2 linked regions of the Nothobranchius furzeri genome follow. The protein of the gene in region 1 interacts with the protein of each later gene in a biochemical or structural test. Links are inferred from orthologs where the notes say so. Each region holds a gene or a part of one and is shown in the gene's direction. Other genes may lie near its edges.

Evidence for each region.
Region 2: of the proteins of sik2b (region 1) and CREB-regulated transcription coactivator 2, one has a biochemical effect on the other in vitro, tested with the Homo sapiens proteins (2 studies listed by BioGRID). The link is inferred for Nothobranchius furzeri from reciprocal best matches to the Homo sapiens genes SIK2 and CRTC2.

What each region holds. Positions count from the first base shown.
Region 1 is NC_091753.1:40,077,226-40,080,876, forward strand, and holds part of sik2b (serine/threonine-protein kinase SIK2), read left to right. Parts: intron 1-1,065; coding exon 1,066-1,190; intron 1,191-1,318; coding exon 1,319-1,442; intron 1,443-3,258; coding exon 3,259-3,485; intron 3,486-3,651. UniProt on the Homo sapiens protein: Serine/threonine-protein kinase that plays a role in many biological processes such as fatty acid oxidation, autophagy, immune response or glucose metabolism.
Region 2 is NC_091745.1:59,165,618-59,169,268, reverse strand, and holds part of CREB-regulated transcription coactivator 2, read left to right. Parts: intron 1-1,539; coding exon 1,540-1,988; intron 1,989-3,651. UniProt on the Homo sapiens protein: Transcriptional coactivator for CREB1 which activates transcription through both consensus and variant cAMP response element (CRE) sites.

The sequences.
Region 1 (3,651 bases):
TTTTTCTTCTTCTTTTTTTTTAACACAACTGCAGGTAAATACAAATAACCAGCATTAAAGCTGCTACAGCAAATTTGGAAAATATTAGCTTAAAACATTATTTTTCTTGCCTCTTAATGTTCTAATATAGTATAGCTGTAAATACATTGTGGAGGGGACGAAAACTTGCGTATTTACAACAGAACACCACTGGTGTCAGGTTCTCCACTCAATAATATCAGAGAAGAAGAAACAGCCGGCTGCTACCACTTCAACTTCAGGACATACTACCAGAGTCCCAAAAAGCAAAACACCGTTTGAATTTACGGAAAACAAAAGACTCTTGGACCTAGTAAACAGTGACTGGTGTTTAGCACCATCTTGTTTTCTCTGGCAACGTGGGTTTCTGATTCTGGCAGAAGCATCTAGGGGTGGGGTGTGTGTTCTGTGACCGTGTTCAAAACCTAGCTTGTTCTGTGGATTTGCTGTAGCAGCTTTAAAAGCTGAAGGGATAACATTTATTTTCATTTCTGAACTGGACGAAATGGAAAGATAATCATCCTTAAATCAGATAAATTCTAACAAAAAAGATGAGAAAAGGAGTGAAGGTGGTGTGATAATAACTGGGTTTGGTGAATGCTCTCAGTGATTTCCCATTGTTTAACTCACATATTGGATTTAAATAAAAATTGACGTCTGCGTGTGTTTTTGAGCTTCTTCTCACCGTCTCTTCTCTGAAGACGAAAATGTAAAGTCTGTCGTTCTGCAGACGGCCAATCGGAGCCCAGCACTGATGACCTCATGTCAGTCTCCAGGGGAGGTTGCCTCATACAAAGATCCATTTCTTCAATGTGCAAAAATGTGGATCTTAAGCTGCGATACACAAACCCTCCATGCAGACGTTCCTGATCAGTGCACTTCATTCATTCTGCACATCATCTTTGAAACGTTTGACACTTTTAGCTGTTTATTTGTTTCTGTTTTTGCAGCAACTACTGTAGAGCTGTGTCTCTTTCTGAGCTTTTATTATATAATCTGACTTTTGTGTCTTCAATCTGCTTGCCTCTGCTCTTTGACCCTGTGTAGATTTTGGATTTGGGAACTTCTTCCAGCCTGGAGAGCCTCTGGCCACATGGTGCGGCAGCCCGCCTTACGCAGCTCCTGAAGTCTTTGAAGGACAACAGTACGAGGGCCCGCAGCTGGACATCTGGGTAAGATGTCTGATTGCTTAAAGATCAAAAAACTCCTACAGGAAGTTGAACTTTCACCAGTCTGTGGTTGATTTATGGAGTGTTTCTGCCCTGACTTTGCTCCCTGCGTGTGTGTGTGTGGTTTCTAGAGTATGGGGGTGGTGCTGTATGTGCTGGTGTGTGGTGCGTTGCCCTTTGATGGGCCCACGCTGCCTGTGCTCCGACAGAGAGTCCTGGAAGGAAGGTTTCGCATCCCCTACTTCATGACTGAAGGTGAGGAGACACGGTCTTTGATCTGGGATTTAAAACACACATGAAGATAATGAAATCAAGTCCAAAACCTCACCCCGCCACTTTACAGTCTTATAAATGCACCCTCACTCTGCATATAAAAACATCATGTTTCAAGTGCCTTTGCTGGTCGGCTCTCGTGCAGCACCACAGTTGTTACCCGTAGAGCTTTGTGCTAATTTAAAGGGAATGCAGTACGGAGCACTCCCGTCGGTGTCGGCTGCAATTTTTGTTGGAGGGGTTGTGTGTGCACGCAGGCTGGAGAGTCAGTCAGGTTAACTGGGTGTCTCGCAGCATCCCTGCTGATTGCATTCATTCCTGCTTGCTGGCTGGAGATTAAGTCCAGAGCTGGAGCTGTTTATGTAACCTGGGAAAGAGCCAGCGAAGCCCTCCAGCTGCTCGTCCGTCCGTCCCTCTCAGAAGGCTTGGTGATTCTGTTTGAGTCATACTCCCATTGTGTGAGACGTCCTCCTGTCAGTCCGTGTCTCTCTAGGAATCTGATGTCTCCACTCAGGGTGTGGCGAGGACGTTTTTTAGTTTATTTATTTGGCAGCGAATGTAAAAGTGTAGTATCAGCACTTGGATCAGACTCCAGGTCCAACCCTCGTTCCCTGAACTTGGAGAACAGAGTGTGCTGATTTCTTCATCCAGAAACGTTCCACCTCATTTCTTCACGTTGATCTCGCCGCTAACACAGCCTTGCACCGTAGACTCTCACTGGAGCTTCCGATCACTGTTTACTCCGGATTTATTAACCCCAAATGTCATAGTCTACATCCGTTTCGAGCTTGATTACTTCTTTTTCCTGTCCGCAGTTTTGTTTTAAAGCTGCAATTTGTGTGAATTCTTTTAAATCCACATTGTGCAATGAAAAATTTGCACTTTTAACTCACTCCTGCTGCTGCTGCTGCTGCCCCCTTCCTGGAGGACACACTGCAACTCTACACCACTGGAGCGATACTCGTGTTCAGTGGGATGGTTTTGTGTTTAACTCACGGCGGTGTAAAGTTCTTTCTAAGAACAGCCTGTCAATCAGTGAGCCAGCCACGCGGCTTCACGGAGTCCGCTCCTTCCTGGTTAAGAGAGTTCAGCCTCAGCTGTGACCAGACCGAAGTGTGACGACGTTCTGGGTCAAGCCAGGTGTACGGGTGTTAAACTCTTGTTAGGAGCTGCTTTTGCCTCAGCAGCTCTCGCTGCTTGTAGGCCACGGTGTGAAGTGAAAGTACAACAAAAATAGGAAAACAAGCATTACTTAGAAGTAAAATGCTGTTAGTAGATCAGCGCTGTGAGTTGAAGAATGTGCAGCAGGGTGTTAATGTCAGCTGCTCGGTTTTTACTCAGTTAGTGGAAAATCAAGACGTTTCATGGTTATTTAACTTGGAACCCCAGTTTTGGTCTTTGAGACTAATACAAGGTGATATGAAGACGATTGGGGGATGTTACACAGCCCGTGTTCTCCAGACCCCACTTGTTTTGCTTTAAGACGGCAGCAGTGGAGTGAGTGGGCAAGAATGCAGGGTGCAGCCATGTCGCAGCGCTGCAGCCGCAGGAACTGTAATCCCGTTAAGATCCCAGCTGTGTCTGACGTCAAACTCATCAAGCCTCTAACTAGAGGTGAGCAGCTCTCATTAGCAAGGGAGGGAAAGTAGAAAAGAGTGTTCATGCTGTTCACAAGTGACGGCAGGAGCAAATAAGAAAGGAATGTCAGCTTTTACGTCCTTGAAGTGTAATTTCTGCTCCATCGATGCTAATTAGAAGATGTTTCTGAAATCACAGAAGCTCACCCTTCTCTTTGCAGACTGTGAGCATCTGATCCGCAGGATGTTGGTTCTGGACCCGTCCAAGCGTCTGTCTCTGGCCCAGATCAAGGAGCACAAGTGGATGCTGCTGGACGTCCCCGTGCAGAGACCAGTCCTTTACCAACAGTCTCTGTCCACTGAGGGCGAGACAGGTGTGGGAGAGTACAGCGAACAGGTGCTTCGCCTCATGCACAGCCTCGGCATCGACCAGCACAAGACTATCGAGGTAAAGGACCGAGCTGGAGCCATGAGACGGGTCCACCCACATTAAAGATGAGAAAAACAAGCTGTAAACACTGTAAACTACAACATAATCCACAAATTGTAGTTTCAGATCTCACACCAACACTTAGATCCAATAAATATAAATTCTTCTGTAATTATTTAATGAG
Region 2 (3,651 bases), on another chromosome or scaffold:
AGCTTCTCACCCTACCTCTAAGGGAGAACCCAGCCACCCTGTGGAGAACGCTCATTTCAGCCACTTGTATCTGCAATCTCGTTCTTTCGGTCTCTACCCAAAGCTCATGACCCTAGGTGAGCGTTGGAACGGAGATGACCGGTAAATCTAGAGCTTTGCCTTCAGGCTCAGCTCTTACTTCACGGTACAACACCCGTATCACTGCAGACGCAGTGTTATTAGAACATTATTATTAATAAATAATAATAAATTATAAATGTGCAGGCTTATAACTGAAAGGCCTGCTAAGACTGTAAAAATAACCCTTTATGCACCAGAGTGGCGATATTGCGTTTAACGAGCCACAGCTGCAAATATTATCCTTCATGAAGTTATTACTTTACACCAGAATATAGTGGAGATGTGTAAATTCAATCTGAGCAACACTTTTGGGTGTTTCTATTGAGATTTTCAGAGTTTATAGAGTTTGAAAACTGCCTCTCGTCTGGACGAATATTATTATTTATTAGAGAGGAGAAACTTGCAATGCTGACAAGTCTGCTCTTTGCCTAGTAATGGCTGACTCTGATTCTGATTTTGAAGAGTAATATTCATCCTCTGATGATGATATTCACTCATCCACTGAGGAAGAAGGTGGCATTGCTGCTACGCGCATCAACAGTCTGTGGGCTTCATGTGGATCACACATGATCCAAAGCTTATTTCACCATGTTCAGGACATGGTGATGTAGAAAGGATGCTAAAAACATTGCTAACAAATGTAGTGGGAATGTAAAAGAAGGGAAAATGGCCAGGCAGATGTGGTAGATGTGAAACTGAAAGTAAAAAGTGTGTTACGTAATTGATATGAACATGCCAGCGATCGTAATAAAACAGCATTACTAAATGGGGGGGAAACTTTACTTTAGGAATCGGCACAAATTGACAATTTTTATGAAGCAGAAAGAAACTAAAACAGGGTTCGCCTGACAGCCTCTTTTGGCTTTGTTGTTTCGACGATGTAGGTGTTTTGGCCAAAAATTGAAAATGCTCTTTTGGGTCATTTTCGGTCGATAATTTTCGGTGCATCTCTAGTTTTTATCTCAACGGAGATCCTTTGTCTTTCACACGTTGTTTGAACATGTACGTCTGTTTAAGGATGTGGAACAACCTTTCAACAATTTCCTTTAATTGGACTCACCTGAAAAACTAATGATCACAGGTGTCTAAGGTTGTTTTCAGTGATCCAAAGAGCCCTGAGCTGTAGTAAGAGTTTAAATGAGAAACAAAAAATCATGCCATCAAAAGAAATTTTAAAAAGTAATCATTTGGAACGCAGCATTTTTTAGTTCAGGCTCTGAATTTGTTGACTACATCCCCACTGGGAATGTTTGTGAGACACGTCACGGAGAATGGAGGGTCACGCTAGAAAGCTGCGCCCCTCTGAGCAGGAAGTGCGACAAATAAATCAAAAGTTGATTGTTTTTAAGGTGTGAGGGTTTTCTGTGGTTTTATGATGATGTGTCTGGACTCAGTCTCTCCTCTTGTCTTCCTCCTAAGGACTCCTGGCGTCTCTACAGAGCACCCTCAGCAACCCCAACCTGCAGTCGTCACTAAGCAACCCCAACATCCAATCATCACTCAGCAGTCATTCTTTTTCCAACTCTCTAAGCTCCGCCTCCCTGCAGTCGTCGCTAAGCAACCCATCACTGCAGTCATCACTCAGCTCCTCCCCCTCCCTGCCGTCCTCCCTCAGCAGCCAATCACTGCACTCGTCCCTCAGTAACTCCTCCCTCCAGTCTGGCAATAGCTATAGCGGAGTGGGCGGGGTAGGTTCAGGCTCCTACACACCAATGCTCACTGGTCAGGGCCAGCCATCACTCAGCACGTCGCCACGGAGACGAGCCCAGCTGTTACCCCTCATCCTGCCTGTGGGAGGAGAGTCACGGAGGCATCACTCCAAACAGTTCTCCCCCACCATCTCCCCCACTCTGTCCTCCATATCTCAGGTAAGAACACACCTGCAGTTTGGTTTAAATCTCAGCTCAGAGCTGGAATTTTTATTGAATTTAATGTTCTGGTTTCCATAGAAACCATGTAATGCCACCGGTCACTTTGAGTTGCACGTGTATTTTCTTCAACCCTATCACCTGCTTTAGCCACAGGAAGGAAAAAGACGGGAAAAGAATGGGGTCAGAAAAAGCCCGTCTCTTCTACGTCACATGGACTATTAGCTTCCATGGCCCCGCCCACCTGGGCTTCTACCTGGTACAGGAGGCACTACAGGACAGCAGATTAATTTCTAACTGTTTATTGCAACTTCAAGCATTATGTTCATCACCATGAATGTTTTGCTATTTTAGGAGAAAGTGAAAGTTTACATTCAGATGTTGCCAACGATCAGGAAGCAGTAGTTGTTCTATTTCCTCTTCGTTCTCTGAGTCAGGATCACATAAATGAGCTTATCAGTAAAGACATTAGCGTCGGATTACCAGTGATGGGCAAGTTACTTCTAAACTGTAATGCATTATTTATTACTTGTTACCCTCATTTTAAAGTAATTCATTACATTACAGTATTACTGATTTTAAAATGTACGGCATTACACTACTTTTGCATTACTTTAAGTTACTTTCACCAAAACAGCTTCAATATGAATCTGGTAATCTGACGCTCAGTGAGCTCATCATGACATACATGTGGAAAGTGATGTGGTGTCTGAGCTAGGATTGCTGTTAAAAACTGTCAGATATAATAACAGTGCTTTAAAATGATTGTTTATTAAATAAAAGCAACAACAATCTGTACTCTCAGCACGCTGCCATCTTATGTTATCTGAGCAGGGAGTGAGGTGGTGGGGGCTCCAAGCCTATATTTACCTTGGTCCCCAAATGCCTTGATACGGCCCTGGATGTGGGACTGACTTCTGGGGTGATCTGATTCTATCACATGTATAAATATTAAATGCTTATGTGTATTATTGCTTTTCACTGGTAAAAATGTGTATTGGGGATAAATCTGCCTACTTTTTTCTTTTCAAGCACTTTGTTTTGTTTTCTTTATTTCATTTGAATAATTTCCGGCCCTTTCTCTCTAACCTTCCTGCATGCTGCATGTTTTCACCGTCTTCCAGAAAAACTGTTTCTTAGATTTCCTACTTTCTACCTGATCAGCCAAAGGGATCTACCAAACTAAAAAAAAAAAAAAAGCTCAATATGCGCTGCGCTCCAGCAGCAATGAGTTGAAATCACCGGGGCACAGATTATGAACTCAGCTGAAAAGTACATGAAGTACCAGAGAATATGGGCTGATATAAACGATCGCAAACGAATTACTTTGTTGTGGTGGAGCGATTTTGTGAATATAACAGCGGCCGCGCACAGGACGAAGCTGGAGTATTTGAGCCATTACCGCTGCATCCTCTCTGCTCATAGAATGCCCACAAAGCTGAGTCCATAAATGATGTCATATATGTGGATACAGGATCTTTTTTCAGGCTTCCTGCAAATTGAATTTTTAGGAAACCCACATCTTGATTCTGGGTTTTAAAATGCATTGTAATTACTGCGTTACTGACAATTGTACCGAGTAAATATTACCATTTTCTTTCCCTGTAATGCCTTACATTACTCCATTACAGCAAAAAGCAATGCATTATGGTAATTAATTACT